Linked DNA regions of Schizosaccharomyces pombe. The gene in region 2 interacts genetically with the main gene of each other region. Each region holds a gene or a part of one and is shown on either strand. Other genes may lie near its edges. The genes, in order: srs2, nse6, rad13 and res2.

Region 1 (6,519 bases), 1.5 Mb from region 2:
CTAAAAGAATCAGAAGTATAAGAGGTTTTTACCTTAAATAAATTGATTGAGAATTATAATTTTCTGTAGGCTATCTTCTCTGATTGCCTCTTTCTTACTTTGGTTAAGCAAGACAACCCCTCTGTACTTTCCATATAGAAGCTGCAAAACCAAGGTTTCCTCTCCTTTCTCATAGAATATCTAGGAGGATTGTCTGCAAATCTATGTAGAACATCTGTATCTCCTCGGCTTTGACATGGCTTTCTATGGTTTATACTGTTCATATCTGCACATTCACATTTGTTTATCGTATACTCAAATCAGACATCAGAAAGACTTCTTTATTTCAGTGAATCCTTCCTGATTTCATACTTCAGCCTTTGAAGGTATGACCCATGAATTTCAATGAGCTGGACAAGGCATTTCGAAGGAGCACTTACTGATAAATGTAAAAACATTAAGAAAATATTACTCAATTTAAGTTTAAATGAGCCTTAATCTAGCTATATTTGCTTTACCTTAACACATTCATTTCAGCAATTTCATTTTGACTTACGAAATGTATTAATAAGGACGATTTGTATTTTTTTCGAATATATACAGGGTTCAAAAATGCATTTAGTGCTATATTTTGACAAGAAGTATCGCCTATTTGACCATTCCTGTACAGTCCATTAGACCATGCACTAGCCATCTAGTCCGCGTTCCACAAAAACAAAACAACACCTCGATAAGGCTTTAAGAGGGTAGAACAACGTGTCACATTTTTTTGAAACTCGAAGTATCCGAGATTTAGCTATGAAAAGATGTCGTTCTGAACATGTTCCTAGTAGGTTACCAAGAAAGAAGTGTAAAAATCATTTGGATAGTAAGTGAAGAATTTAGCGATTTTTTACTAAGCTTCTAAGTGAGATCTTTTCTTAGTTTGTTTGCAAGCAAAAAAAGTAATGCCCATGATGCCTCTTCTATCGTTTTAAATGAAAAGGTTAATTTTGTTACTGACAATGACCATCTGCCTTCATCTACCGGTGTTTGCGAATTTTGTGATAACGTATTATATCTTTCTACATGTGATCGCTGCCAACGAAATATTTGTCGAAACTGTAGTACTCTAATGTAAGTTTATTATCTGTATCTATTTTCAAGCTGACATTATATGTAGGTATTTTAAAGAAAACACCGTAGCAAGGTGTTTAGATTGTCTATAAATATAATACGTGATTTTGTACAACATGATATGACTATAACATTCGTGAAACTCGTAGCCTTACACCCAATCGTTTTCTCGAACCAGCAGGACGGGCACTCGCGACCTTAGTATTTGATTGATTAAGGTCAGTATGTTGCACAACATCTTGGTGACCTTCCCTCAACGTTCTATTTATTACCTGATCTTTCGTAGAAGGACCTCTACCAAGATTTTGTCTGACGCTGCTCATGAAAGAAGCGTTTGTCGTTGAGGCTCTTGTCGATACAATACGATTGACAGTTTCAAAACTTCGATCATTTAAATCTTTATTTGCAACCATTATGCTTGCGGACCTTGACGGCTCAGAAATCTCTACATCTGAATCGATTGGTTGTTTTTTCTCAAACCAACTTCGTATATCGGTTTTCGATCTCTTGGCATTATGTTTTCTAAAATTTGTTTCATCTTTATTATAGTCATTGACACTTTTGACTCGTTCTCTCTTTTTCAATTCTGCCTCAGCTAGAACACGACAGCATTGGAAGCCCAAGTTTTCGAATTTAGTTCCGTTATGATTTGCATTTGAACCAATACCGCTTAAATTAGTTATTTTCCCATAAGATTTCCGACCCAATATGGTTCCAATTTCAGAAGCAATCTTTTCATTAAAAACTATTTCACTTTCCATCACCCATCTTTTCATTTCTTCTCCTTTTAAAAATGGACTGACGTCCTGTACATTGTCTGAGTTCTGCATATCTGCAAACATTCCAGTGACGCTTTTAAAGGAAGATAGATACAGTAGCGCCTGTGCACGTGTGGCACCGACATATAGCAGCCTTCTTTCCTCGTCGAGGTCGTCTGAACGAGAATGAGGGATAATATTTTCACAAAGACAAGGTAAAAATACAACAGGCCACTCTAAACCCTTAGCTGCGTGAAGGGTTGAAATGGTAACCTTCTGAGATTCGCCCTCTTTCTGTTCTTCATTCACAAGAGCGATTTGAGTCAAAAAATTCTGCAATAGAACAATTGTTGATATTTTGTAATCTAATTCATAGAATATACAAGATATGTTATCGCTTTGTTGTACAAGCTCCATTACATTTTCCCATTTTTCTTCGACAGTTTCTTTATTTTTCCGAACCAGGTATTCGTAATATTTAATCTCAGAAAGTATTCCCAAAAGTAAATCACTAAGAGTTGCTGAGTGCCCATTAGACAAGTAACGATTTTCAAGTTTGGAGATTGAACAAAGAAAAGACTTTAAAGACTTTAGAAAACTCTTGTCATTTCTTTGAGAAAGTAAAATATTTTCATTCTTTACTTCATTTAAAGTTTGCCAAAAGGTCAATCCTCTTCTTTCACTTTCGAAAATAATACGGTCGATTTTTGTTTTGCCAATATTTCTAGGAGGGACATTGATGACACGAATTAAAGAAGTCGAATCTTTGTTAGCTAGGACTCTCAAGTAAGCTATTAAGTCTCGAATCTCTTCTCTATCAAAAAACTTGTTAACTCCAACCATGCGGTAGGGCACACCAAGTTCGGAAAGTGCATGTTCTAAACTTCTTGTAAGGCTGGAGGACCTTACAAGGATTGCGATATCGTTATAAAATATAAGCTCTGGACAAGAACCTACTATACGTTTAATTTCTCTAAAGAATCGTTAGTAAACTTTCATGCAATGAAGCCATACGAACCTTGCGATCCAGTAAGATTCTTTATTGTTAGTTTCAAACAATCGGTAATGAGGCTTTAAGGAAGAGATGTGATTACTTTTGAGCCCCTTCTTAGGCCTGCTTTTGTCCTGTGAAATGATAGACAGTGCTAATTCAAGTATAGGTTTAGCTGAACGGTAATTTCTTTCCAAATGAAGCACTTGGGTACCTTCAAAGTCTTCAGACATTTGGTTTAAGTTCCTAATTTCAGCACTTCGAAATCCATAGATTGATTGATCGGGATCGCCAACAATCGTGATATCTGAATTTTGCAATGCCAAAAGCTTAACAAGAAAATATTGGATTTTGCTAGTATCTTGAAATTCATCGATTAAAATATGTTTTATATTCCTCACACAATCTGGTTGCTTTTGAAGTAATAAAATAAAGTTTAAAAGCAAATCATCAAAATCCTAAATAGTTAGATATATACATACAACTTTATGCTTGTTACGTACCGCTAAATTGTTCTTCCATAAGGAAGTTTGATAAAGTCTATACAATTCAACAGATTGATGGCTTTGAAGCTCTTTAGGTGGTTCTTCCAGACCATTAATCAAACTCAACTGATCCATTCCAGGTTTAACAAGAAGACCGTTGGACTTTAATTTAGTTATGCGATTTAGAGCATTCTGAGGAGTCAATTCTTGTCCTCTAATACCAGAAGCAATCGGATTTTTAGCTTTCTTGAGAGAGTCTAAAAGTCGCTTCATAATAGCTTGACTAAATAGATCAGCAATGGTTGAAAGTGGAGAAGTAAAAGTTAGAAAAGTGTAAACAAGACATACGTATCATTTCTGTCAGCAATCAACCAATTTGAGGATAGCCCTATATGCTTGCCATATTTAACCAAATACTTGTACGCTATAGAATGAAACGTCCCAGAAATAAGCTTAGAGGCTTCACTATTCCCCAAAATAGCTTCAATTCTGAGCTTTATTTCATTTGCGGCTTTGTTCGTAAAGGTGGCTATAATTAAATCTTCGGCTGCAATATGGTTCTTTTGAAGTAAATAGGCTACTCGAGCGGTAAGAACACGGGTTTTTCCAGACCCAGGACCGGCTAAAATTTGAGTATACTTATGAGGACTCTGAACACTAATCCTTTGTTCTTCATTCAGAAACTTCAAGTATGATGATTTCGTTTCCATAATTGAGAAGAACAAAACACTCAACCGACAGCTTCAAATGTATATTTTAAAAAAGTGAGAAATAGGAAAACAATGCAAAGATTTTTGGCCAAACACGGTCTTTTCCGATGAGTTGTCGGGTAATAAATATTAAATTGTGAAACGATGACACGTCAAACTAAGAAAATTAACAAATACTTATTATTTTAACGAAAGCATAGCATAGGTGAAATAATTTAGAAGATCAACCCTTATTTAGTTGAAAACAACACTTGCAATTTCTTAGTATTCTCGATTGACCTACCAGCGCGAAAGGGCTGATACACGGATACGAAAAAGATTTTAATCCACCTGTTTTTACTACAAGAAATTTGAGTAAATCGTGAACGTATAACAAATGAAAGCCTTTCAATTCAGTATTCTTAAGTAATGATTTTATTGTGTGAAAACCTGATTTTGCGATTGTCTTAGTCTTGTGTTTCGACCTCCCAAAAGTGGTGTTAGTGCAGCAAAACGCAAATGATGAAGGCAAGAAAGCAAGATATATGTAACAGTGTGTTGTTCAGAAAATAATACCCATTGTCAAACGAACATCACAAACCGAATTACAATTTGAACGTATCAATATTATTCTTCAATTTATCTCATGTCACAAGCCATTCGTGAAGCAACTCATGCAGGATCTTGGTATTTGGATGATACAGAATTACTAACTAAGCAATTAAAATCATTTATCAAAAACCCAACGCCCGAGACTGGGAAACGGTTTGTCATTTCACCGTACGTATAGACAACTTATAATTTATGTGATATTCAGTATATAGCTAAATATTGAGCAGACATGCTGGTTACATGTATAGTGGGAAAGTCGCATCCCAAGGATTTCAGCAATTGGACTTTTCGAAAATTCAGAGAGTTTTTGTTTTTGGGCCTTCTCATCACATCTTTACTAGAAAATGCCTAGTCAGTCGAGCTAGCATCTGCTCAACACCTTTAGGTGATTTGAAAGTGGATGAAGACTGTATGTGAAAACAGTTTTGCTTAGTAGTTTTACTAAATTGCTACTGTCTATTTCTCAGCACAGATTATTTGCTAACTGGAAATTTATATAGTATGTCAGAAACTCGTCGCTAGCGATAACAGCTTCGACTCAATGACCTTGGATGTGGATGAAAGTGAACATAGCCTCGAAATGCAATTCCCTCTTTTAGCTTTTCATTTGCTGAAACAAGGATGCTTGGGAAAAGTCAAAATTGTTCCTATCATGATAGGTGCCTTAACTTCAACCACAATGATGGCAGCAGCGAAATTTCTGAGTCAGTATATTAAAGATGAATCAAATTCATTTGTTATATCTTCCGATTTTTGTCATTGGGGAAGAAGATTTGGATATACCCTTTATTTGAACGATACGAATCAATTAGAGGATGCAGTCTTAAAATACAAAAGACGAGGTGGCCCCACTAGTCCCAAAATTTATGAGTCTATATCTAATTTGGATCATATTGGTATGAAAATTATTGAAACGAAAAGTAGTGATGACTTTTCAGAGTATTTGAAAACCACTCAAAACACCATATGCGGCCGTTACCCTATAGAACTCATTATGAAATCTATGGAATGCGCCAATTTCTCTGAAAGATTCAAGTTTATTTCGTACGCTCAAAGTAGCCATGTTGAATTGGTCACCGATAGCAGCGTTAGCTATGCAACCGCAACCGCATAGTATTGTTGATATTTTATTATTATTTTTTTCATGACTTGAAACGGCTGATGCGAAACGATCATATATTTAAGTATTTGAGAGCCGAAAATTATCGGAACATGTATTATGCAACCTGTGTTTGTTAGTTATTATCATCAGATTCATACTCAGGAGGCTAATTTTGCAATGCTTTTTCTGATCTAGGCAAATTACGATAAATGAAATGCGCTTTATTTCTCAATTGCAACATTTACGAAACATACCCTTTTCCATTTATATAATTTTTTTGTTTTCTGTATGTATCAATTGGTCTCTCTTGAGAATTAATCAATTTTTAAATCTTTCTACTATGTATAAAACTACTGTTTTTGATATTCTGAACAAATTTCTTTTACACGATTAGTAACGAAAACATTATTATATTATCAAAGTCAATTCATGCATGTGCATAACCTTCTAAACTAGTATGCTTTCCAGCTTTGCTTGAAAATTATACAGCCTCAACGAGTTCAAGACAAAATTTCAATACAAAAATTTCATGTTTAACAATAAATTAACACAAAAACAAACAAAAAAAAAATGAATAAAAGGAAGCCTACAGCACCCCGGATTCCCATGTTGTCTCCAACCATAGTACTAACGAGGCCCTCAGACGCTTAACTGCAGTGATCGGACGGGAACTGGTGTTTTCGCCTAGGTATGGCCGTAGACATTTGTTGTATAAATTACTTTTATTTAAACGTTTAAGAAGTACCGTATAGTGTCTACCGGCAGAGTATTTTCTCAGCCCTGAGAT
Region 2 (5,031 bases):
GAAGTTTATTGTTTGTTTATTATTTTTATAGCAATTTATATGATATGTAATGGAATAAATGGGAAAGTTGAATTTCATACTTGACAAGGTTTTTATATGTACTAAACAGTATTAATATCAATAACCACAGATACCCAGCTTCACTATATGCCAAAGTACTAATAGTTTGCACGTCAAATGGTACGTGGTCAAGAAAATTAAAAGAATTGCCAAAGCGTTCATTCAACTTTTTTGCGATGAACATTTAAATTCGTGGTTACTTCTTTGTCAATTTTATTCCATGCAGCAAATTATTGTAAATTCTTTAATAAATTAAAAGCGCCTTGTATAAAAAATCTATAAATGAATCACAAAGGATGAACTGCTACAAACATTGACGACCTATAATATTTTGGAGATAGTTGTGTTTGTCATTACGAATTATAACAATAGATGACTTTTGAACCTTCGATAAGATAAAAAATAAAAATAGTATTCATATTTACGTTTTATTGATCATTTTATAGGTCTCTAAAGAAATAGTGCCATATAAAGTAATTGAAATCATTTTTAATCATTAGCGGTCCAAAAACTGGATATCAAAGAAATAAAACGTGCTAGACAAATAAAATAAATTTTGAATAAAAAAAAGAAGATCCTCTTATAAATAATATAATGTTAATTCGAAAATTCATGAGACGAGTTTTTAACATCGAATCGACTATCAGCAAACTCTAAACCAAAGGCTATAACTGAGGAAGAAGAAATTCCTTCCCTTGAAGCAGCTCTTGAGATACTGTATAAAGAAAAACAAGCTGATCGACCGATTGAACAGATTGCATTCTTTGTGACCGAAGACTGGAAACTATATTTGCGATATTATCCACCTCAAATTTCGAAGTTGAAGTAGAGTCATCTGTTTGAGATAAAATCTCAAATAACGCCATGAAAGTTCCCGTTCTGCCACAACCCGCTGAACAATGGACTATAATGGGTGCTGTTTCAAAGTCCGGAGAATATGAGAGACTTTTTATATAGCGAGTCAGTGATAGTAGTGAGAAGGTATGTGGTGCACCAAAGTCAGGCCAACCGTTATAGTAAAAATGCAAAATTTTTTTCTTGACCCCGTCCTTGTTCAGCTCAAATTCACGAACTTGAACTTCATTTAATGATGTCAAAGTATAAACTTTTACCAAAATAACGCTTAAATCACCGATATTAAGTGTCTCAAACAGTTCCACTGGCCAATAGATATCACATTTCAGACGATGGCGTTCCCTCAATTTGGTAAGCATAACGATGATGCCTGATTTTGGCACAGATTGCCAGACCATCTTCCAAAAAACATCAATACTGTTCGACGTTGGACCCTATATAAATAAAGAAGACTAAGTTAGTAATTATGTTACAAAAAATGATGAAAAGAAAAAAGGCCAAAGCCGTTTACAATCCCGCAATTTCTTTTTATTCCTAACCTGAGTAGCGATAAATGTTTTCCCAGAAGGGATTTTTACTATGGAAGCATTAATGTAATCACATGCTTCTTTCCACATTGGATCTAAACGAACACGAGTATTTTCATAAGGGACTATGTTGGAGTATCGGTTTCTAGCCAGCGCTTTCTTACTTAGCTTTGGCAACCTAGTATTTAACAGCTCTATCTCTTCCTCATTGAGTCCCTCAATAATCATGTACGCTTTTTCTTTTATTGTGATCAAGGGTGTTAGAACACCATTTTCTGTAGATACTTCTTTAAAAGACATATTGATTTTTTGCGTTTATTCGCTTTTAAACTTCTCACCGAAGTATTTTTTTGTGTCTATCAAAAAGAAAGAATAATTTCTACTAAACGACTTTAAATGATTCCTAAAACCATGACAGAAGTCAGTAAAAAAGAGAAGTATAATTGTTTAATAAATCATCATTGTACGGCCCCCACATAGCGCTAGTTTCTAGTTGTAGTCGTAATCTAGTTCACGTTCACATTCACTTCGTAGGACTAGGCCCAGAGTATTTGCGAATGTCTATGTGGGGGTAACTCGAACCTTTACGAAGCCGGTAGTATGAAGAACAAGCTATATGTGGGATACTTTTATAGGTTGTAAACAACTGTATTGATGATAGTGAATAAAATGATTTAAACGCACTTATGTTCTCTCCAAGGACTTAATCGATCTGCTATACTTTTACTTTCAAAAACAAAAATATTTAAAGTGTAGAGAAAAGTTTTGACGTTTCTTATATAAGGCCAAGTATTATAATACTTGCTCAGCAATTGTTTCATTAAATGCCTGTTTGAATGTCGCCATTGTTCTTTAGGAGTTGTGTTTGACTCGTTTGACTCCCTTACTTGGCTTCTTTGGTTTTAATGTAATTTGTAAAGATTTCTTTGAATGAAAACGTGCCTAAATTGGTTTTAGGTGTTCTTTCTTCTAAGGTTTCCAATAACTTTAACTCAGAATTAGTAAAAATCATTAATTGTTAACAAAAGCTTATGACAGGTTTTTTCTATTCTTTTTTTTTGAATGTTCGCTTAAGAAAAGTCATATGTAAACATCAACGAAGCCAGCTTGGATATGTTTATGATTTCTCCGGTAATAGCAGTTGAAATGCTATAAACTAACAAATTATTCATTTAATAAGAAAATCAATAATTTACTCGATGTTTAATATTATTTGCTTGGAATGCTCAAATTGGATGAAATGAGACTATAAACAACAAAAAAACAATCGTCGTCAAACTATAATGCTATATAATTAAATTATAAACGTTTACTTTCCACTATTTACTATTTCATAATTTTTGTTATATATCCATCCACCCTTTTACCAAAGCACATCAAAAGTGTCTTTGCTGGTATAGTTCTATGAATGCGTCTAATAACATTTCAAAATTTCCTGATTTAGATAATTCTTCAAAATTAATTGACCACATACTTGATAGTGATGATTCTGAAGAGTTGGACGAGCTTCCTGATATCTCTTCTTTGGTGCCTTCGGCAAGAGCCCAATCGCGAAAACAGTATTTGAAAAATGATTCTTCTAATTCATCTACATACAGATGGAATATTGATCTTCTTTCTAGTACTGCTACAATTGACGATTCGGTTGCAAAAAGAAGAAAATTAGCAGTACAAAATTTATTGCAATATGACAGCACTCAAACCTTTCAAACGGGAGATGAAATTGATGAATTAATAGGAAAAAGTGTTGGATCAAATGTTTTGAATGTTCTACGTTCTAACCCTATTTATGATGACGACCTTAGGTACGAATATTGTAGCAATTCAAAAGCTCGTGTTCCAGACTGGAACACCCTGAAAGCAGAATGCTTGAAAGATAACGATTTGGAGTTTAATGAAGGAATTATACCAACAACTTTTGGTGATTTATTATCGGCAAAATTGGTCCCCTTAGATATTGCATTGTCAATATGCAGCTTGCAATTTTTCCGCTCTTTAGGAGACACAACATGCTCTGAATGGATTGCTAACCTAGAAAAGATTTTTTATAGCTATAAAAGCAGCTCTAATAATCTCAACCAAATTGTACGATTTATTTTTGAGACTACTGCAGATATGATTGGCATTGATTTAGCGAAACGACAGGTACCAATCCAGTTGGAACGTACGTCAGCCTCAGAAAATTTAAAAAGCAATTTGAAAATTAAGGTAATTAATTTCCTAAAATGCTGTGGAACTTTGTATCGGTTCTCCGACGACACTGTTCGCTTTGAAATGATTCAGGATGCATGTCGAATCTTAATTGACAATCAAGTGGGCTCATTTTGTAAATGGCAATTTTCTCAATTCATGGAACTTCCAATATCATTGAATCCAGATTTTTTGATCAGTAATATTCATAAGGTGTCTGAAAGTCCTAGAGTTTGGGTTACAATACTATCTTCTTTGTCTCGTTCCTGCCAAAAATTCAGAAAGAAGATTGCTTTTACATTATTTGTTGGGAAACAAAGTAAAAATGATGATTCAGACTTTTCTTCTTTATGTCAACGACTAGATGAAATTTCCGCTTCCTGTAATAATGACTATACAACTTTATTGTACCAGATTCGTACCTTCGGATATGCGGTGGATGAAAAGCATTTTAAAACTAATGAGCGCTTAGAGTGCTTACTGGAAAAATTACGAAAAATAGATTTAACAATATCTGGTTCAACAGACCATTTGCTACTATCGAGATGTGAAGTTAAAGATTGCATACATAGACTTTTTATGGTGCTTTACTATTTAAATACAAACTCAGCACCAGAATTGGAGAGGATTATTGAAAGTGACTTGCCCAATAATAATAAACAAAAGGACAGGTATTTCAAGGATAAAACTTCTAACTTATCGATGAAAGAAAACAAAAGCTTTTCAGCTAAAAAGGTGAAGAAGGGAAAAAAGAAAAATAAACGGCAAGCGTACAAAAGATAAACAATCAGTGTATTTATTAATATTAATTTCAGTGCTGGCGCAAATTCAACAAATTGTATAATACTTTCTAACTAAGAAATCCATAGTTTAATTTAAAAGAAAGTTACTTATTATAATTCCCTTGGAATTACAAATGGACAGAAAAGAAGAAAGAAGTTACCATCTTTTACGATAGTCAAAACTTAGCATCCATTGAAAGATATTGTATCCACTTGATTAATAGAAAGCAGCTATGGGAATAATTTATGATAAGAATCAGCAGAAATCATACACAATCCACATTTAAGAAAACAATGGAAGCCGAACTTGCGATCATTTAGCCTGAAGCATTAAATACTTGGATGAAGCAAAAATTTGAAACAAGTTATAGATAAATGCTTTAAATGAACTTGAGAAAGATTATAAGATAAAGCAAAAGAAATTAATGTCATGAAAGAAACAAATGACGATATCTCAAAATTTAATTATCGAACTTTCGGTTAGGATTTTCACCGAAGAGAAGACGTCTAATTTCAGGAAGGGCTTCTTCCTTCACAATCTCTAAGCGAGCACGCAAAGTGTTATCAACACGAATTTTACCACCCAAACCTACTAAAACGACACCTCCAAGCACAGA
Region 3 (6,877 bases), on a different chromosome or scaffold from region 2:
GGACGATGAAGATGTTTGTGAATATTCTGGATTACCTAGTGTTAATTTACGTTACACGAAATTTTCTTGTATTACCCAGCTGTTCCTGAAGCATTCCTTTTTTTTTTTGAATTAGTAAATACGTAAACTAACAGAAAAACTAAATTACCTGTCCACAAAAGTAAGATTTAACTCCGTCATTTAGACATTTGGGACATTGCAGTCTGTCAGCTTCATTATTACAATCTATACCGCAACAAATATGTTTTGCAATTTCAGTAGCCATATAAATACTTTGTCTTAAGGGTATCACTCGCCTTAGTTTCTAGACTCGAGAATTTCTAGTCACACTAGTGCTTCGTAGCCGTGAAGTACATTAATGTCGTTGGAACCTATATAACCCAATGCCACTCTTTAAAGTTATGATTTTTGCAAAACTAAAAAAATAACTTTAATATATGCTTTTCAGTTTTTAAATAAATAATTCATTTTTCTAATTTTAATATGAATTTAAATCATTAACTTATGAAAAAATATGGAAGTTTCACAATACATTCTATGATTAGCATACTGAATGGCTCCTAGAATGTATAATTTTATCTTGTTCTCTTTCGTGTATACTGCGTATGCTGGTATTTGGATCTCGCTTTTTTCTTTGCAGTAGTTCAGGTCCAACGGTATAAACCGCTGAGGAAGCGCTAACGCGAAAATCGTTGGCCTTCGAAATATCTTGCTCGTCACGTGAAAAAGGTGGTCTTGAAGCCTCAATAGGGTTGTTTGAAGATGAACGGGTTGTTGGCAGATTTTCTGGAAGCCTCGATACGGCCATATACACTGTTAAAACGATTAGAACCGTGAGTTGAAGCATTAAAAGTCGCTTTTGAAAAGATGATTCTTGATATAGTGAAGTAATTTGACTCTGAAAGTATTCATTTTCTGCAGAAAGAAGCTCAAGTTTAGCTTGGAGAGCAAACAAAGACGGCTTAACGACACTTTTCGACAATTTCGAAATTTCTAATTGAAGGGTCGAGTTCAATTCATGTAATAGCTGCGTAAAATTCATGTTTTTGGCATTGTGCTTACCATAATTTGTTAATATTTTTTCTACAATTTCATCAAATGCCTTCTTCCGTTCTTCTAAGGTAGAAAGACGCTTATTTATGTTTTTGTAAATGCTTTCCTGATTAGAAGGAAAGGTAGATATTTGAGCGGTACTGTAAGAAGATGAAGAAGATGGAGAAATATCGTTAAAAGAGCGAGTTGATGTTGCAGGATATGATTCACTTTTTCCTGTTTCATTTCCTATAACAACAGTGCTCAAAGACTTAGATATCACAGTAGAAGAAAGTAAGGTGTCTGTACTATTCAACTCGACTGATGGATTCTTTCTCACTGGTTTGCTTTGAACATCGGTATCTTCTTCGTCCACAAAAATAGGACTTTCTTGAGGCTTCCGGATTTCATCTGCTTTAATAGCGCTTCCGTCGTTCACTTTTTGTTCTAAGAAGTCTTCATTTGCTTCTTCAAATTCTTCTATCATAGTTTTTCCATAAACCCTAAGTAGGCTTACAGGACAATAAAATTCTGACCCATAATGAGTTAAAAACTCTATTTTAAGATACTTCGCCCAAATAAGAGGGTTCTCAATATGAAAAGATTGAAGAGTCCTTAGGTTTAAGGCCGTAAATGTACCCAATTCCATCCAAGAAGACTCGTATTTTGGATATTTACCGCTTACACTGACCTTGAAATCACGAAATATACTTGAAAAAAATTCGAAGTTGGCAATTTGAACTGTATCGACATAAATATCCTCACAAAGTTCAATTACCACGAACTTGTTTTCAGCGGAACATTTGTTCAGCATATATTTGTCTTTGTTTTCGGTCAGAATCGAAGAAGATCCGACTGCTTCAGGATTTGTTTTAATGACAGCAGCAGCGCAGTCAGTTGAAGCAAAGTTGAATCTTTTTTCTTCTGAGAATGCAACAGTCTTTTCATCTATATTTGAATCAATTGTAGCTGCTGCTGAAGTAGAGGAACCATCCTCAGAAATTGGTAGAGTAACCGAAGAACTAGTAATAATATTAGTATCAATAACTTCCGTTACAGAATAGTTTTGCTCTAGCTTCTTTGAGGATGAAATTGTAGACGTCTCGTTCACCAATGGTGGGCTAATTGAATCTATAAATTCGCTAGTACTTGTTCCATTGGAATATTCATATTTTGACAAAAAATTAGAAGAAATGGTATCACTTCCATTCAAACTCGTTTTTGTGTGAAACGAAGGTTCCTGGTACTTATTTGTGGGAGTGAAATCCCATGTTGTAGGGTTGCTAGCTTCTTTTTCTTCAGATTTGGTAGCAATCACAGAAAGGTACGCATCACATACCAAATTTTCGTTATGCGTATCTGGTGACTTCAAACACAATGCCGGATATTTACACCAATGACTCGTTTGTGGAGAGCAGCAGCATAACCGAAATATAATAAAATAAATTAAAAAGGCATTTCCAAATGCAGACAATCTTCTTTTGACCATATGATTTAGGCAGCCCTATCAGTTTAATGTGGTAATTGGCTCAAGTCAAGTGCCACACACTAAAGTGTTAGCATCAATCATCGCACATGCCCTTGTTTTATCGCTTTGTTGGTAAAACATGTCTTTTATAACGATTTTAATTAAAAAAGAAGAAAAAGGGTAAAGAAAAAGGCTTGCTTTAATCACATTTCTTCGTATAATAATCAAAAATAAAGTCGTCTACAACGAAACTTCTTGACATCGCATATAATATTTTGCAATGGGGGTTTCAGGTCTTTGGGATATTTTAGAACCGGTAAAAAGGCCTGTCAAGCTAGAAACACTTGTTAACAAACGGTTGGCAATTGACGCTTCAATTTGGATTTATCAATTCTTAAAGGCCGTACGTGACAAAGAAGGAAACCAGCTGAAAAGCAGTCATGTTGTAGGATTTTTTAGAAGGATATGCAAACTATTATTTTTTGGGATTAAACCTGTATTTGTTTTTGATGGAGGAGCGCCGTCATTGAAACGCCAAACTATCCAAAAAAGACAAGCCAGAAGACTCGACAGGGAGGAAAATGCCACGGTCACGGCCAATAAACTTCTGGCTTTGCAAATGAGGCATCAGGCAATGCTTTTAGAGGAAAATAATAAAAAAGCTACTGCATTGGCAAATGCCTCGGTTCAAAATGAGAGACAAATGCCTTCATCTATGACATTGGATAATTCAGAAATTAAGCCAGTACTTAATCAAAGAAAAAATTATTTGAAGCCTGATCCATACCAACTACCTGAAATGGACGTTTCGTTTGATAAGTTAGGGTCGAGTTACGACCCTCGAATTATGTCCCAGGATGAGCTTACACAATATGTCTCTAGTTTTACTAAAATTGAAGATATAAATTTATTTGATTTTTCAAATATTGATTTTGACTCTGAATTATTTCAATCATTACCCGATACGGATAAATATAGTATTTTAAGTGCAGCAAGATTACGCTCTCGTTTACGAATGGGTTTAAGCTCTGAACAACTTTCCGAGATGTTTCCTAATAGAATGGATTTCTCTCGTTTTCAAATTGAGAGACTGAAGGAACGTAACGATTTAACTCAGAGATTAATGGACTTTACTGGAATGAATGAGTTTGGACCCTCTAGAGTAGTAAGTGAAAAAAACCGAGAATATATTTTAGTAAAAAACGAAGGTGCTGAAGGTGGATGGGCTCTCGGTGTTATCTCAGGATCTACAAACAATGAACCTATTATTATTGATGATGAGGCTACAAAACTTAGCAGCAATCTTATAGACGAAGACGAGGATGAGGCATTCTACGATGTGCCTTTACCTAGCCGATCTCATAGCATGAACCCTAGAGAATTGGTAGCCGCTAAATTAAAGGAAATAAAAGAAAATTCATTTTCGGAAAATCAGCAATCAGATGAAGCAGATTATAATGTTACTGATGATTTAATACTTCAATTAGCAACCCAGCAATCTCTAGAGGAAAACAAAAAATCAAAAGAGCTGTTTAGTCTTTCGGCTTCTGAGTTTGATAAGTTGAATAGCGAGAAAAAGACGTTTGAAATTTTGTCGACCGATATTCCTGCAGAGGATTCAATGAATTCACTTCTTAACGACGAGGAAAATTTGAAACTTGAACATGTTGGAGATGTTTCCAATGATTCATTAGCATTCGCGGAAAAAAAGCATCCTGAAAATGGGACTTCAATTTTTATGGATGCCCTTCCATCTGCGAGTAGAGAGAAAAAAACCAATGATTTAATTGATCCTTTACCTTTTCAGCCTATGGATTGGGGAAAGTCTATTTTTTTCGAGAAATTAAAGAAACCAACTGAAACATTTATGGATTCTAAAACTGATATACCAAGTGAGGCACCGGATAATTCTAAACTTGTGGAAGATACAAATTTACATACTATTAATGCAACAGTTAATATTGAATCCGATTTAGACGCTGCTAAACCTGGAATTGAAAATCCAATTATTTCACCTCTTCTTCCGGTAAAAGATGATGAAAAAGATTTAGACTTACGTGAACTCAATCCTTTGGAACCCTTTGAGAATATGAAAGAACAAGCTGATGATGGCACAGTTACCAACCCATTAAATGTTTCTAGTGATAAGGCCATGTCAGTGTATTTATTGAGCTCCGAAAATGCTAAGGATACTGGGGATATCAAATCCGAATCAATTGACGCTGTTCTTCCTACTTTAGAGACCAGCAGCCCTTCACTTAGCATTCCAACTGACTTTCAAAAAGAAGCCTCTCCAAATAAAGGAGCTGCTGCCTTGAGTTCGAAAGTAGAGCCTGAAGTGGTTGAAAAACTTTTAGATGAGGAAGAAGAGGAAATGATTATCAGGATGGCAGAAGAAGAAAAGGAATATGATCGGTTTGTTTCAGAACTCAATCAACGACATGAAACTGAAGAGTGGAATCAAGAGGCCTTTGAAAAAAGGTTGAAAGAGCTCAAAAATCAAAAAAGGTCTGAAAAACGTGATGCGGATGAGGTCACTCAAGTAATGATTAAAGAATGTCAAGAACTTCTGCGTTTATTTGGCTTACCATATATCGTTGCTCCTCAAGAAGCAGAAGCCCAGTGTTCTAAACTTTTGGAGCTAAAGCTGGTTGATGGGATTGTTACTGATGACTCAGACGTGTTTCTTTTTGGTGGAACTCGGGTATATCGAAATATGTTTAATCAGAACAAATTTGTCGAACTCTATTTAATGGATGATATGAAAAGAGAATTTAATGTGAATCAAATGGATTTAATTAAGTTGGCACATCTTTTGGGAAGTGATTATACTATGGGACTTTCTAGGGTAGGTCCAGTTCTTGCACTGGAGATTTTACATGAATTTCCTGGTGACACTGGACTTTTTGAATTTAAAAAATGGTTTCAACGTTTATCAACTGGACACGCATCAAAAAATGATGTTAATACGCCAGTAAAAAAGAGAATTAACAAGTTGGTTGGAAAAATTATTTTACCATCAGAATTTCCTAATCCGTTAGTTGATGAAGCTTATCTTCATCCGGCCGTGGATGATAGCAAGCAATCGTTTCAATGGGGCATACCCGACCTTGACGAGTTACGCCAGTTTTTGATGGCTACTGTGGGTTGGTCAAAACAACGAACTAATGAAGTTTTACTTCCGGTTATACAAGACATGCATAAAAAGCAATTCGTGGGTACACAGTCCAATTTGACTCAGTTTTTTGAAGGTGGTAATACTAATGTATATGCGCCGAGAGTTGCATACCATTTTAAGAGTAAACGGCTTGAAAATGCTCTTTCATCTTTTAAAAATCAGATTAGCAATCAAAGCCCAATGAGTGAAGAAATTCAGGCAGACGCAGATGCATTTGGTGAATCTAAAGGATCAGATGAACTACAAAGCCGTATTCTTAGAAGGAAGAAAATGATGGCAAGCAAAAATTCCTCTGATTCAGATTCAGACTCTGAAGATAACTTTTTAGCAAGTTTAACTCCGAAGACGAATTCTTCTTCAATTTCTATTGAGAATCTACCTAGAAAAACCAAGCTTAGTACTAGCTTACTAAAAAAACCCAGCAAAAGAAGAAGAAAATAAGTTTAATAAATTATTTATTTATTTGTTTACTTAACTGGTTGTTCCTATAAAAGAAGTTACTGTAATTTTTTGTTGAGTAAATTTTTTTGAGTTTTCCTGCTGTAACTGTGTTTAGACAAAGTAATTGAGCAACATAGCTTATATTTTGTGATTTATTCGTGTTTTGATTATTTACAATTTTTCTTGCTCTTTGTTACCTTACCTAATGTCACTTTCTACTACAACCTACTTAGCAGCAGTAAAGTAAAAACGGAGAAACAGAATATTTTTCGAAATGTTAAGTACAAAAATTGATGCGGAAAATGCGGAAAATGCCGCCGAGGTAAGCCTTGGTTATTATTTATTTAATAATACTTACAGATTTTAGATTGAAATGCAGGTACGTGGTTGTAGAAAGTATTTAGTTTTGGTAAAGCATGTACTGATTTAAAAAATTTTAGTTTGCAGTAAAAGCTGTTGAACAGGCTCGTAAGTTGAGCAAAATATGATGGAATAAAAAATAACAATTTAGAAATATACTGGAGTCTTTTGGAAATGCGCAAGGGAAGCGAGTTAAAGCTGACAAAGTAAGTATATATTTACATCTTTAATTTAAAGTTCAAATTGCTTACTATTGAATAGATACGATGATGAGATTTTTGAAGATTTAATAAACACCTTCCCCGAGTTTAAAGACCCTAAAACAGCTTCTTTTGTTAATGAGGATGAAATGAAGTCCGCCAAAGGAAAAGCTGCCTGGCGTCCATTTTTAATGCGCT
Region 4 (5,596 bases), 4.6 Mb from region 2:
ATGGTGCAATTTCGCGATCTTTTTTCTTACCGGACGATGTTATCAACACACATGTTCGTTTCCCGACCTTGACTGCTAATATTCGTCAAAGGCGCGGGAGAAAAGTGGCCATGAATGTTCCGATTTTCTTCGATAAAAATACAATTAAACCATTTCACGATCCTACCGTTCCTTGGGATAGAAATTTGTTTCCTGAAGATGCAAATGCACGAGATGGTGCAGCGTTAGACAATCATATTTACATGGACAGTATGGGTTTCGGTATGGGATGCTGTTGTCTACAAATTACATTCCAAGCTAAAAGTTGTGATGAAGCTAGACTTTTATACGATCAGTTGACTCCTATTACCCCCTTGATGCTGGCATTATCTGCCGGAACTCCAGCATTTCGAGGCTATTTGGCTGATCAAGATTGTAGATGGAATGTGATTGCTGGTGCTGTCGATGATCGAACCGAGGAAGAAATGAAAACTGTGCCAAAATCAAGGTATGATTCTGTTGACTTATATATCTCGAATGACAAGCGCAATTTACCGGAATATAATGACGTCCCGGTCGTTATAAATCAAGATTGCTACGATAAGCTAATAAAAGATTGCATTGATGAAAGATTGGCTAAGCACATGGCTCACATATTCTCTCGTGATCCTTTGGTTATTTTCAGTGACAGCATTTTACAAGACAACAGTGTATCCAATGCTCATTTTGAGAACCTAAACTCAACTAACTGGCAATCTATGCGCTTTAAACCTCCTCCACCAGGTAGTGATATTGGTTGGCGTGTAGAATTTAGATCAATGGAAATTCAAATAACTGATTTTGAAAATGCGGCATATTCAATTTTTGTTGTGATGCTTTCTCGTGCAATTCTATCCTTCAATTTGAATCTGTACATGCCGATATCGCTAGTGGATGAAAACATGAAAGCTGCTCATGCTCGTGATGCCATTCATCGTAAAAAGTTTTGGTTCCGTTGCAATCCATTTCCTGACGCAAGTACTGATGATGAATCTGGTCAGTTCCGTCAACTTACAATTGACGAGTTATTTAATGGTGAGCACCGTGAAAACGGATTCCCAGGTTTAATTACCATTGTTCGAAGCTATTTATACTCTTGTAATCCTGATGCCAAAACTATTTGCCTAATTGAACGTTATATTCGCCTAATTTCTCAAAGAGCAAATGGCCAATGCTTGACTGCTGCTTCGTGGATACGCAATTTCATTACAACTCATCCTTCTTATAAGCAAGACAGCGTGGTCAACGACGAAATTAATTATGATTTAATTAGAAGAATAGCAAAAATTGTAGATGGCGACTACGACGATACGTTACTTGGAAAATGCTCATAATGCAGATGAATTCTGAGTGGAATATATATAAGATTTTTTTCTACTTAATAACATATCTAAAATTTTGGTAATTTAAATTCCTTTGCAATTCAGTATTACAAGTGTAGTTCTTTGGCAACTGAGACTTCCCATTGATTCCTTTCATTAAGTGAATACTCATTATTTAATTAGTGCTAATATATATTCAGTAACTACATAGTTGATTTTCTGTATTGCCCCACCCTTCCCTATTGTTATGTGTATACGCAGGTAGGGTGAGCGAACGCAATGCATGCACCCTTTTAAGAGTCCGCGCTACGCATTTTAACTGCCTTTTGCTGTAATGGCTCCACGTTCTTCCGCAGTACATGTTGCCGTTTATTCTGGGGTTGAAGTCTATGAATGCTTTATTAAAGGTGTCTCTGTGATGCGCAGACGCCGCGATTCCTGGTTGAATGCTACACAAATCTTGAAAGTGGCTGACTTTGACAAACCACAAAGGACAAGGGTTTTAGAAAGACAAGTACAGATTGGTGCGCATGAAAAAGTACAAGGTGGATATGGAAAATATCAGGGTAAGTTGTCTACTGTTACGCGTTGTGACATGATTTGCTATCTTTGAACAACGCGAACAATTGAGTGTTTACTAAGCCAAATCGAGGTATTTTAATACCTTTTTGTATTAAATATCTCTATGGACGCGTCCTCTAAATGATTGACGGTATTAACCAAACTATAGGAACTTGGGTTCCATTTCAGCGTGGGGTCGACCTGGCCACAAAGTATAAGGTTGACGGAATAATGAGCCCAATATTGAGTCTTGACATTGATGAGGGAAAAGCAATTGCTCCAAAGAAGAAGCAGACCAAGCAGAAAAAGCCTTCTGTACGTGGCCGTAGAGGCCGTAAACCGTCGTCACTTTCTAGTAGCACTTTGCATTCCGTCAATGAAAAACAACCGAATTCTTCTATATCACCAACAATTGAGTCATCTATGAATAAAGTGAATTTGCCTGGTGCAGAGGAGCAAGTTTCTGCAACACCTCTGCCAGCGTCTCCTAATGCACTGCTATCACCAAATGATAACACTATAAAACCTGTTGAAGAGTTAGGCATGTTGGAGGCACCGCTTGACAAATATGAAGAGTCACTACTTGACTTCTTTCTTCACCCAGAAGAGGGACGCATTCCTTCCTTCCTGTATTCGCCGCCCCCGGATTTTCAAGTTAACAGTGTTATTGATGATGATGGCCACACTTCTCTTCATTGGGCATGCTCAATGGGACATATAGAGATGATTAAGTTATTACTGAGAGCCAATGCTGACATTGGCGTGTGTAACAGACTGAGTCAAACACCATTGATGAGGAGTGTTATCTTTACCAATAATTATGACTGCCAAACTTTTGGACAAGTGCTTGAGCTTCTCCAGTCTACTATTTATGCTGTTGACACCAATGGTCAGTCAATTTTTCATCATATTGTGCAATCAACCTCAACTCCTTCAAAAGTTGCAGCGGCCAAATACTATTTGGATTGCATATTAGAGAAACTAATATCGATTCAACCATTTGAAAATGTTGTGAGATTGGTAAATCTACAAGATTCAAATGGAGATACCTCTCTATTAATTGCTGCTCGAAATGGAGCCATGGATTGTGTAAACTCTTTATTAAGTTATAACGCCAATCCTTCTATTCCTAACCGACAAAGACGTACAGCTTCCGAGTATCTTTTGGAAGCTGACAAAAAGCCACATTCATTGTTACAGTCAAACTCAAATGCTTCGCATAGTGCTTTTTCATTTTCCGGAATAAGCCCTGCTATTATCTCGCCATCATGCTCATCGCATGCTTTTGTTAAGGCAATTCCTTCAATATCTTCGAAATTTTCTCAATTAGCAGAGGAGTATGAATCTCAGCTTCGAGAAAAAGAAGAAGATTTGATTAGAGCGAATCGTCTCAAGCAAGACACGCTTAATGAAATTTCCAGAACTTATCAGGAATTGACCTTTCTGCAGAAAAATAACCCCACTTATAGTCAATCTATGGAAAACTTGATTCGAGAGGCCCAAGAAACTTACCAGCAGCTTTCGAAGAGGTTACTAATATGGTTGGAAGCACGACAAATCTTTGATTTAGAGAGAAGCCTCAAGCCACATACTTCATTATCTATTAGTTTTCCTTCCGACTTTTTAAAAAAGGAAGACGGACTTTCGTTAAATAACGATTTTAAAAAGCCGGCTTGCAACAACGTGACCAATTCTGATGAATATGAGCAATTAATTAATAAGTTAACTTCTCTCCAAGCTTCCCGCAAAAAAGATACTTTGTATATTAGAAAATTGTATGAAGAACTAGGAATTGATGATACAGTTAATAGTTACCGTCGTCTTATTGCAATGAGTTGTGGCATCAACCCTGAAGATTTGAGTTTGGAAATACTCGATGCTGTGGAAGAAGCATTAACCCGAGAAAAATGAATCTTGGAAACTTTCATTTACATCTTGTCTTAATGTTACGTTCTTTATTTAATGATACGAGTTATGATAGTTAATGATTTTATCCATGACACTCACTGTCAAACTGCATTTATCAACGTTATCATACTTTGATAGAAAAACACGAGTTATTTTATATATTATTTTCGAATGGAATCAAGTGGAAAAAACATATATTGCTCCTTCCTAACAAAACTATTATGTTACTTATTTATGCGCAGCTAAAACAATCTACTATTGTAAAATGATTTATCTCATTTACAGCGCGTGCTTCCATTCATGATTCATCCTTTTTGCATTCGCACGTTAATGATCATCTAAAGGATACCAAGTTACTGAGCTTCACTTTAATTTGAGGGTCCTGTTCAAATAGGTAAAAGAGTGATTAATACAAATAATCAATTATTTAATTGAAAGAAAATCTATAGCAGTATTTCTCGTAAATACGATATAAAAATATGTAACCTATAAACGCAGAAATCGCGTTTTTTTGAATACATTTATTATGTTTACTTAGCATACATAAATTTAATAACGCTGTTGGAATACACAATTTGAATTAACGTACTGGTTTAACTAGAGGACGTTAGTGCAGCCTTTCCCCAGCAGCTACCATACTTACTTTAGTCGTGTATATGTATAATTGAAAATTTCAACAATCTTTTATTTTTGTTCCTTCGTTGAAATATCTACTAAAATATTTTAACTTTGATAATTAAGTATTGCATAAGGAAATGGATGCGTTGAAACTTTTGACAACTAATGTCAAATTTAAGAATAAAGTACCTCAACCTTCTATAAAAGAAAAAGAAGCAAAAAAATTACAAGGTATTACTAAGGGAAAAGCTAAAGTTACTGGTAATAATCCTGTTGATCCAATTGAAGAGTTTCCGGAAGGAATACTTTGTGAAAACTTAAAAAAACAAAACATAACAGAATGTACCACAATTCAAAGATATGCCATTCCAACGATAGGTTCTAAACGAGACCTATTGGCATGTGCACCAACTGGTTCTGGAAAAACTATTGCATATCTATTCCCAATTTTGCAAAAACTTCAGTTACATGTTCCGGGTGGATATAGAGCGATTATCGTAGCGCCGACTAGAGAACTGTGCGAGCAAATATATAGACAGGCAGAAAAGCTGTCTTTTGGAACTTCATTGAAGATAATTGAATTAAGTAAATCTAATGAAAAAATTCAAGAAAAAGCGCCCAAGCTCCGGGAAAAGTATGACATGTGCATAGGCACCCCGATGAGATTAGTACAAGCAATACAAACCGGATTGTCCTTTGAAAAAGTAGAATTCTTTGTTATGGATGAAGCTGATAGACTTTTTGAGCCTGGCTTTATTGAACAAACTGATCATATTCTAAGTGCATGCACCAGCTCTAATATTTGTAAAAGCCTTTTTTCCGCTACTATTCCATCACGCGTCGAAGAGTTAGCTAAAGTCGTAACGGTTGATCCGATTCGAATCATCGTTGGTTTGAAAGATGCAGCCACGGATAGCATCGATCAGAGACTCTTGTTTGTTGGTTCGGATACTTCCAAAATTGTGATTTTGCGTCAAATGATTTCAAATGGAGAGTTAAAGCCTCGAGTCGTAATATTTGTTCAAGATATAGAAAGAGCGAAAGCATTGTACACAGAACTCTTATTTGATGAAATTCACGTTGGTGTCATTCATGGAGAATTACCACAAGCCAAGCGCGAAGAAGCACTTGCGAAATTTCGGAAGGGTGAAATTTGGGTTTTAATAGCA

The links.
Region 1: mutations in nse6 (region 2) and srs2 impair growth when combined (synthetic growth defect), as found in Schizosaccharomyces pombe (2 studies listed by BioGRID, with this or other methods).
Region 3: mutations in nse6 (region 2) and rad13 impair growth when combined (synthetic growth defect), as found in Schizosaccharomyces pombe (2 studies listed by BioGRID).
Region 4: mutations in nse6 (region 2) and res2 impair growth when combined (synthetic growth defect), as found in Schizosaccharomyces pombe (2 studies listed by BioGRID, with this or other methods).

What each region holds. Positions count from the first base shown.
Region 1 is NC_003424.3:3,830,295-3,836,813, reverse strand, and holds srs2 (UvrD subfamily ATP-dependent DNA helicase), read right to left. Parts: upstream 4,536-6,519; 5' UTR 4,040-4,535; coding exon 3,678-4,039; intron 3,613-3,677; coding exon 3,348-3,612; intron 3,328-3,347; exon of another isoform or gene 3,303-3,327; coding exon 2,872-3,302; exon of another isoform or gene 2,827-2,871; coding exon 1,221-2,826; 3' UTR 1,188-1,220; coding exon of another isoform or gene 1,142-1,187; 3' UTR 1,096-1,141; downstream 1-1,095. Other genes in the region: SPOM_SPAC4H3.16 (uncharacterized protein), read left to right, coding at 778-847, 888-1,095, 1,142-1,187; SPOM_SPAC4H3.04C (uncharacterized protein), read left to right, coding at 4,665-4,798, 4,858-5,039, 5,131-5,744. UniProt on the Schizosaccharomyces pombe protein: ATP-dependent DNA helicase involved in DNA repair at least for UV-induced lesions. Also aids the recombinational repair of camptothecin-induced collapsed replication forks.
Region 2 is NC_003424.3:5,295,549-5,300,579, reverse strand, and holds nse6 (Smc5-6 complex non-SMC subunit Nse6), read left to right. Parts: upstream 1-2,799; 5' UTR 2,800-2,846; coding exon 2,847-4,415; 3' UTR 4,416-4,531; downstream 4,532-5,031. Other genes in the region: protein tyrosine phosphatase Pyp3, read right to left, coding at 726-1,349, 1,455-1,742; vma4 (V-type ATPase V1 subunit E), read right to left, coding at 4,876-5,031. UniProt on the Schizosaccharomyces pombe protein: Acts in a DNA repair pathway for removal of UV-induced DNA damage that is distinct from classical nucleotide excision repair and in repair of ionizing radiation damage.
Region 3 is NC_003423.3:2,672,261-2,679,137, reverse strand, and holds rad13 (DNA repair nuclease Rad13), read left to right. Parts: upstream 1-2,568; 5' UTR 2,569-2,780; coding exon 2,781-6,119; 3' UTR 6,120-6,148; downstream 6,149-6,877. Other genes in the region: methionine aminopeptidase Fma1, read right to left, coding at 1-26, 76-96, 149-265; SPOM_SPBC3E7.09 (Sad1-UNC-like protein), read right to left, coding at 542-2,521; SPOM_SPBC3E7.07C (uncharacterized protein), read left to right, coding at 6,394-6,441, 6,487-6,498, 6,560-6,587, 6,631-6,685, 6,741-6,877. UniProt on the Schizosaccharomyces pombe protein: Single-stranded DNA endonuclease involved in excision repair of DNA damaged with UV light, bulky adducts, or cross-linking agents. Essential for the incision step of excision-repair.
Region 4 is NC_003424.3:684,919-690,514, forward strand, and holds res2 (MBF transcription factor complex subunit Res2), read left to right. Parts: upstream 1-1,616; 5' UTR 1,617-1,674; coding exon 1,675-1,906; exon of another isoform or gene 1,907-2,070; coding exon 2,071-3,812; 3' UTR 3,813-4,261; downstream 4,262-5,596. Other genes in the region: glutamate-cysteine ligase Gcs1, read left to right, coding at 1-1,352; ATP-dependent RNA helicase Rok1, read left to right, coding at 4,565-5,596.